Linked DNA regions of Oryctolagus cuniculus. The protein of the gene in region 1 interacts with the protein of each later gene in a pairwise test. Links are inferred from orthologs where the notes say so. Each region holds a gene or a part of one and is shown on either strand. Other genes may lie near its edges. The genes, in order: FGFR1 and GRB14.

Evidence for each region.
Region 2: the proteins of FGFR1 (region 1) and GRB14 interact in a two-hybrid assay, tested with the Homo sapiens proteins (2 studies listed by BioGRID, with this or other methods). The link is inferred for Oryctolagus cuniculus from reciprocal best matches to the Homo sapiens genes FGFR1 and GRB14.

Annotation. Positions count from the first base shown.
Region 1 is NC_091433.1:88,156,899-88,160,700, reverse strand, and holds part of FGFR1 (fibroblast growth factor receptor 1), read left to right. Parts: intron 1-1,473; coding exon 1,474-1,677; intron 1,678-2,417; coding exon of another isoform or gene 2,418-2,418; coding exon 2,419-2,563; intron 2,564-2,755; coding exon 2,756-2,877; intron 2,878-3,321; coding exon 3,322-3,432; intron 3,433-3,802. UniProt on the Homo sapiens protein: Tyrosine-protein kinase that acts as a cell-surface receptor for fibroblast growth factors and plays an essential role in the regulation of embryonic development, cell proliferation, differentiation and migration.
Region 2 is NC_091434.1:76,882,680-76,887,208, forward strand, and holds the start of GRB14 (growth factor receptor-bound protein 14), read left to right. Parts: upstream 1-1,686; 5' UTR 1,687-1,879; coding exon 1,880-2,070; intron 2,071-3,389; coding exon 3,390-3,522; intron 3,523-4,529. UniProt on the Homo sapiens protein: Adapter protein which modulates coupling of cell surface receptor kinases with specific signaling pathways. Binds to, and suppresses signals from, the activated insulin receptor (INSR). Potent inhibitor of insulin-stimulated MAPK3 phosphorylation.

The DNA.
Region 1 (3,802 bases):
CTTCACACTGCATGTAGGCCCTCAGCCCAGAGGTGCTCAATGCTTGTAGGGAGCGGCACTTGTCCAGCCTGCATGCCAGGTCCTCTGGCTGGGGAGAAGCCACCTTTCTAGACAAGTGAACACGACCTGCTCTAAGTCAGGCCTGCCTCAGGCAGCCTCAGTGGGGCCATGGCAGTCCCCCTGCATCCTCTCTGGCTGCTGTCCCCGGCGGGAGGTCTGTGTCGAGCCAGGAAGGAAGAAGCCTGCAGCTGTGCAGGGTGGTGGTGACCGGAGCTGGGTGTGCTGCATCTCCGCGTGTCCCGCATGTGGGTCTGGGTGCCATCTGCTCTCCTGTCTGACTCCGCCCCCTTCTGTCCTCACCCCCCTCCACTTGAGGCACAGAAGTGTTCTCTGTTTTCATCGTCGTCCTGTCTTCGTCCCGTCTGTCTGTGCACCCCATCATTTGTCTTTTGTTTCTCGACGTTGGGGAAAGGAGTAAAACAGAAACACTTCTGTCATCAGCTCTGTCGTCTGCCGGTCAGGCCTTGAGGTCCTCAAGGGCCTGGGCCTGGGCCTCGTCCTGTGCCTCTCTCTGGGTTGGGGTGGGGATAACTCCCGCCACCTCTGTGGCTGGCTGCAGGGTTTCTGAGGGGCGGATCAGGAGGGGAGACAGCGGTGACGGGAAGAGGGGCCCCTCGCGAGGGTGGGGCTGGGATGAGAGTTCTCTCCCGGGTACAGACAGGTGGGCTGAACTGGCTTGGCTTTTGGGGGGTGGCAGTGAGTTCCAGATGGAAAGAGGGCAGGCAGAGAATAAAACAAGGCACCTGCCGCTCCCTTTTCCTTTGTGAGTGTTTGTTAGGAGGTAAAGCCCGTGAGTAGAACTCTTGTGAGAACTACACAGAAAAAACAATTCAGACACGTTGGGAAGTGGAATCCCTTTGCAAGTGGCTTGGCTAGGTGTAAATATTTACATGTCTGGTCTAGTGGAGGTGACTGACACAGGTGTCAGGACACAGGCCGGGTGCCGCCGCCCACACTCAGGTGCTGGGGCAGACACAAGTGACCAAGGCCTCGGCCCTGCCTCTGGGACCTCATCAGAAACGGTCTGTCCCCATGGGATAAGTGTCCGAGGCTCTGCAGTGACACTGAGAAAGGCATCCAGAAGTGACTTCTCAGCTGCCCCTCTCGGGATACCTGAGAGGGGATACCTGGTATCCAACCATCCCCCCAGCCGCAGCTGAGTGAGGAGGCTCCCAAATGAGAATAGATGTCTAGTGCTTAGCACTTAGGGACTTTGCATCCGGTTAAGGACGCCTCAGGGATCCCAGGATGCCTGACCCTCTCGGTGCCAGAACCCCACCCCTAGCTTACATCTTCTGAACACCCCTAAATGAGGCAGAGGAGATGGGTGTTGTTTTTCTAATGCAGTGGGGAAACCCCTTGTCAGCCTGGGGCTCCCCTGCACCTGCTAACACCCTGTTCACACCGACTCAGCCCTGGAAGAGAGACCAGCCGTGATGACATCGCCCCTGTACCTGGAGATCATCATCTATTGCACGGGGGCCTTCCTCATCTCCTGCATGGTGGGCTCCGTCATCATCTACAAGATGAAGAGTGGCACCAAGAAGAGCGACTTCCACAGCCAGATGGCCGTGCACAAGCTGGCCAAGAGCATCCCCCTGCGCAGACAGGTAACAGAAAGTAGATGGGGGATTTGCACGCTTGCGCTTTCTCTTGCTGTGCCTCCGGGGACATCCGCAGGGTCCCCCGATGCCTCAGCCTCTCCACCGTCCCTCCTCTCCCCCTTTAGGCTTTGCTTTCTGACTTCTGGGCCAGGCGTGTTAGAAGAAGGGCCTAAACCCAGTGTTCCAGAGTCAGTTTCACACTGGTCTAGCCTAGAAAATTCCCTGTACCCTCCATGCCCCTGTTGAAACGACCCTGTTCACATGCATGGGGAGAGAGTCCTGTGTGGTCTGTATGTGTAGCTGATGCCGTGTATCTGAGCACCTCCCAGGGCCAGCTGAAGGGACAGAGAAGCAGGGTAGAGAGAAGAGGACCCAAGTCAGTTCCCAGGTCTGAGTGGCGGGCACTCAGAACCCTGTGCAAACTCTGGAACTAACTTTGGGCGTTAGAAATCCATCATCCAAGGCAGGGTCTTTGCCAGGAATTGGGGCACGAATGAGAGTCATTACTGCAGTGTTGCGTTGTGGCAGGTCATGCTGGGAGAGGTGTGTGTGGTCTGCTATTTCCAAGGTGAGTGAAGCCCAACACAGCTGATCAGTGGCAGAAATAAGTCAGGATGAGAACACGGGTCTCCCGGCCTCCCGCAGTCTTTCTGCGGCTCCACGTTGGGGAAGGAACCTCAGACGCAAGAGACTCAGGCTTCTGCGGCTGCATCCCATCCCCTTGCTAGAAGGTAACCCCACTCTTCCCTATAGGTGTCGGCTGACTCCAGTGCATCCATGAATTCAGGGGTTCTTCTGGTTCGGCCCTCACGGCTCTCCTCCAGCGGGACCCCCATGTTAGCTGGGGTCTCTGAATATGAGCTGCCCGAAGACCCTCGCTGGGAGCTGCCTCGAGACAGGTGAGGACACCCCTTTGTTGTGGCTCTTAGGGTGGAGATTGTGGGTGCCAGGACCTTCCGGGGAGTCAAGGCATGTGCAGTGCCTCCAGACAGAATCCTGTCCATTTCTTGCTTGCCTTTGGGTATCCTCTGTGTGTTTGGCATTTACCAACCCTGACTCTTGCCAATTTCTCTCCCTCCTCCCTGCCAAAGACTGGTCTTGGGCAAACCCCTGGGAGAGGGCTGCTTCGGGCAGGTGGTGTTGGCGGAGGCCATTGGGCTGGACAAGGACAAACCCAACCGTGTGACCAAAGTGGCCGTGAAGATGTTGAAGTGTGAGTGATGCTTGTGTCTCTGCGTAAAACAGCCCCTTCCCGTCTTCCGAGCAGACTGTGTGCAGCCGCCCGCCGAATCGGACCCCTCCTCTGGTGCTTTCCCTGCCCCTGCCTGCTTTGCTGCCTCTTGAGCTTACCTGGGAGTGGGAGGGGCGCTCTGCACTGCGAGAGCAGTGTCTCCTCCCTCTGTTCCTTGCACACCAGCCTAGGCTGTAGTCAGGTGTGTGTTTCAGCTTGCTCACCGTTGCCCCTGCCTCACTCACAACAGTACTCCCATATGAGAGCAGGGAAATGAAGTGTTTGGTGGAGGAGCAGAGCGGGAGGGAGCCTCTGCACAAAGGGGTCCCTCGGGCACACAGTCTGCTGGTCCCCTTGGCTTTTATCCTGCCCTGCTCCCTCCCAGAGCAAAGGAGTCTCATGCCGTTTTCTGGTTTATGTGTAAAGCGGATGCAACAGAGAAAGATCTTTCCGATCTGATCTCAGAAATGGAGATGATGAAGATGATTGGGAAGCACAAGAACATCATCAACCTGCTGGGGGCCTGCACGCAGGACGGTAGGCACAGAGCCGGGCTGGCCCTCCCATCACCTGCAGCAGACCGACCAGGCTGGCGGGAGGGGGCTGCACTCAGAGGGGAGGGAGGGAGGCCTGTGTAGCAGTGACTGCAGAGTATCTCCTCGGGTCTGGGCTGCTGTCCATTGCTGCTCCAGGACACAGACACTGGAGTCCCACACATGATGTGTGGGCAGGAACAGGTGAGCCAGCTGTGGCTTCAGCAAGGGCTGTCACCCCCCAACCCCCAGTTTTGCTCAGGAACTTTGGATTACGTTGGAAAGAATCTCTCTCTTTTTTTTTTTTTTTTTAAGAATAATTATTTGGTTGTTTGGGTTTTTTGTTTGTTTTAATTTTGAGGGCCAGCACTCAC
Region 2 (4,529 bases), on another chromosome or scaffold:
ATTAACTAGATCCCTGAGGGGCGCCACCATTGTGTCCTGGCTTGGCCACTGCATTGTATAAAGCGTCTTGGAGAGTACACCCAGGACACACCCGCCATTTTCTGGGCCTTTACTTTGACATTTGGAAAAAAGAATAACTTGGATTTCATAAACTCCTTGATTCAAAGGTTTTCTTTCTTCATGGGATATCCCCTGTTCCTTACCTGCTGGGAGTTACACCCTTCCTAGATACAGCCAGTGGTGGGTGTCCCGGTGGAGAAGGGGACGCAGAGATGAGGGTGTGGGTTGCCATCTCTCTCTCTTTTTAAAAAAGATGCAGTTTTTTAGAAGTCAGAGTTACAAAGAGAGGGGTAGAGAGAAAGCTCATCCATATGCCGGCTCACTCCTCAAATAGCCACTAGGGCTGGGGCCGGTGGAAGCCAGCGGTTTCTTCCAGGTCTCAGGTCTCCGGTGCAGAGGCCCAAGCTTCCGCCACTTCCCCAGGAGCATTAGCAGGGAGCTGGATGGAGAGCAGGGCGGCCCGGACTCAAGCCAGAGCCCATATGAGATGCGGGCACTGCAGGGGGTTACATAAGCCCACATGGCAGCACGGGTTGCCATCTCTTCAGGATGGCGGCGTTTGCTTTTCCCTGGACAGAGGCTGCGGAGGTTAAGACAAACTGGTGAAACAGATGCTAGGGACAGACGTTACCTAATTTGGTGAAAGAACAGAGTGTGTAAAACATTCGCAAACGCTCAGCAGTGCGTGGAGATATGGTCAGGTGTGGGAAGAGCAGGAACAGCTATCGCCCAGAACTTCGGAGGCGGCTGCACGTGAGGTCATTACCATTCCAAGCGGTCCAGGTCTTAGAGAAGGTGCTTCTGGGTTGCAATCCTGACTGCATCAGTTACTAGTACTCTGTGTGAAGCCCCCATTTCCTGATGCGCAAAATAAGGTACGTATTTAATTTCGGGAGCTGCTGTGAGCCTGGGATGGGAAAAGGCAGAGTAGGAACTCATGAAATGAAAACTGCTCTCATGAAAAGAAAATAATCTTTCCAGTTCCAGACCCCTCCTGGTTTACTCATGACTTCCTGAGGAGTCTCAAAATCTCAGTAGTTGTCTATGAGCGTACTCCCTGCTCTCTCTCCCTCCTCTCCCCACGCCGCGCCCCAATCCTTGGCTTCAGAGTGCATGAAGAGGCACCTGGAGACGGACCAGGGCAAACCTGGCCCCGTGGACCCCTGGCCTCCTGGCCCGGTAGCGCCTGTCATGGCGGCCCAGAGACAGCTTAGGTGATCTCAGATCGCAGAGCTGGAAGAATGGAAGAGTCTGAGAGTCAGCGCTGCCCGAACCCCTGCCTCGCCGGCGCGCTCCGCTCCGCTCCGCCTGGCAAGCCGTGCGGGGAGCACGGGCTCCGCTTGGAGCCTGCCTCGAGCAGCGCTGGGCCCGCCCTGGCCCGGGCTTAGCCTGGCACTAGGGCGCCCACCTGGGGAGGCGGCGGTCGGGGCCACCCGAGCAGCGGCGAGCTGAGGTCCTGGGGCGGGCTGCCGAGGACCGACGACACCTCCCCCGAGCGCGCCGGGCCCCTCCGCGGGCCGGGCCGCCGCGCGCGCGCCCTCCCCGCCCCCTCCGCGCCTCGCCCCGCCGCCCGCGGCCCCCACCCACCGGCCGCTCCTCCCCTCTCCCCACCCTCCTCCTCCGCCCCCTCCCCTCCCCCGCCGCCTCGCAGACTGCTCAGCCGAGCTGCTGAGCCGCCGGGGCCGGAGCGCAGGCGGCCAGGCCACCGCACCTGCAGGGCGCTCGGGCCGCCGAGCCGGCATCCCGCCTCCCGCCTCCCGACACCCCGCAGCCTAGGCGCCCGGGCTCCCATGCCGCCTGAGCCCCCGGGCCGGCAACCATGACCACTTCCCTGCAAGATGGGCAGAGCGCCGCGGACAGGGCGGCTGCCCGGGACTCGCCGCTGGCCGCCCAGGTGTGCGGCGCTGCCCAGGGAAGGGACGACGCCCACGACCCGGCGCGGGCCCCCTGGCTGCACGCGCGAGCTCTGGTGCCGGCTCCGGACGGGACCCGCGGCTGTGCTGCAGACAGGTAGGCAGCCCTCGGAGGGCGCGGGGGAGTGTCCTGGCTTGGCAGCGGGCGAGGGGGTGAGGAGGCGGTCCTAGGAGGTGAGCCATGTGCCCAGAGCTGGGCCAAGTTAGAGAAAGTCTCCGAAGACAATTCTCTTGGAGCTGGCTCCTGCCGGATCAACAGGACATTGCGATCTCACAGCTTATAAATAGCATCACCGTTTCATTGAGAGCTCGTGGTCTCTCTCGCCTTTGCCCATCCGTGTGATCTGCAGGGAGTTGTGTGGAGCGGGGCGGGGGGCGGGGAGCAGCGTGGTGGGAAGAGTGGACTCAAGGTTCATTACCCTCTGCCCCTTCTGCGTGACCCTGCACTCTGCCCCTTCTGCGTGACCCTGCATTTAAAAAAAATCTTATTATTAAAAAAAATCGTAGCATAAATGAGTTCACTTCCCCCCTAGAGTCTTAGAAAGACCCCGGCGAGGAAGCAAAGCATGGATTGACATTTGAGCAGTCTTGCCGCTCAGCAGAAAAGAATAGAGGCATTGAAAGGTTTTCCCATCTCCATAGCATTTAGCACTAAGTGCCTTCAGAGTTGCACGTACTTCAGGGAAGAAAACCCGCTAGAACAATACCAAAGTCTGTAGTCCTTTGTATTCATACATTGAAATGGTACTTTTCCCCCCCAGATTTTCAAAGTGCTCCAACTTCTGTGAAGTTAACATTACTCTCCAGTGGACTAGAGTACATTTATACCAGCAAGTTCTGTTAACTTACCTCCTCAAAAACACTGCCTCGCTGTTGAGTGTCTCTGAGCACTTGAAAAATCAACAGACTGTGTGTGGGCAACATTGTGAATGGAATTTGAAGTGAGATGAACCAAAGCTATAATTAATAGATCATAACTTCCAGAAGTGATTAGTAAAATATCATAGGGATGAATTCACTCGGTGTAACTTAGGGACTTTGTCCATTGCACGGATTCGCAGCAGTGTCTACCTCCTCAGGATTTTCTTTGCATTAATAATTACACAATCCACATTTCTGCCTCAGGAAAATTACAGGAGTGCTGAACATGGAGTTTCCATGCTTGGTGACTTATTCGAAGTCCCGCACATTTCCCTAAAAAAGATAGGAATACTATAAGAGATTTATTTTTGTCAGTTAACATATTTTATTTTTACCCACAGAAAGGGCAGCACGGACCTCTTCTGTTTACTTTATGTAATATTAGCGTCATCGCTGAGTGCTGTGTGTTGGCCTTCATGCACTTTTTAATGCTGACAGCGTTTGTCTTTTACATTCCGTTCTATGTAAATTACATCCTATGTTCTCTTGCTGTAGGAGAAAAAAGAAAGATCTTGATGTTCTGGAAACGCCATCTATTCCAAACCCCTTTCCTGAGCTCTGCTGTTCTCCATTTACATCTGTGTTGTCAGCAGGCCTCTTTCCCAAAGCAAATTCAAGGAAAAAACAGGTATGCATTGCTAAACTTTTTAACGATTTTAGGTGTTCTAAATCCATAAGGTCTTTGATGAATTCCAGTAAGTTACAGTACTAACAAAGGATTAGCCTGGGCTAATCTTAATCATTTCACTGACTGGCACAGTCCTCTGGTGTTGCTTTTAATTTTAGGGCCTCAGTTTTCCCAGCTGTATAACAGGAATGTTAAAGCTTACCTCTTGGGATGGGTTAAAAGAGAACGTGAGTATATGCAAAGTGCAGCGTCTGGGAGTTTTTATCATTTGCTGAATAGGTGAATAGGGAGAGCATTAAGTGACGATAGAGTATCAATTTTAAGTCAAGGCTTGGAAGGGAGTGGGGAAGTGGTGATGGGGTAAGAAAAGGCTTGGCTCATTTCTCTTAGCCTGTGTAATCATTTGTATTTTCAAAGTCAATCTCATTTGCTCAGGCAAGTGTTACTGTGAATCTGTAGCACAGGCAATTGGAGTTTAGGACTGCATATGTCTTCTTCATTTCAGTGAATGCCTCAGTCTGGAGGCTTGTGCACAGAAGGCAGATGACCTGTAAGTAATGGTCAGAAGGTGGACTTTGTTTTTCTGATGTTTTGGACTTACTTCAGCAATTAAGATTTTAAGAACCAAGCAACCAAAAAGAGATAAATCATGATGATGCATTCATGAACAATAAAAATAAGGTTTTCTAGCATAATTCATCTCATCATACACTTTCTCCCAGTTTTGAACTAGCAAAATAAAGAGAAATTTTGCTACAAAAATTCTCCTTGTTTTTATTGGAGTAGAAGTGACAGATGTAGGCAACCAGGTACCCGTGAAGAGGGGTCTAATGAGGAGAAGACAGTTCGTCATTTTCCCCACCTACTGTTCTCTTTCCCTTTTCCACATCTCTGTTACCTTTGATGGCTTCAACAATGTGTGTTTATATTTTTACAAATGGAAGAAATAACCTAGGAAGTAGATGATTTCTTCCTAATTCACAGTAATAGAAACTGGAGGATTTGTG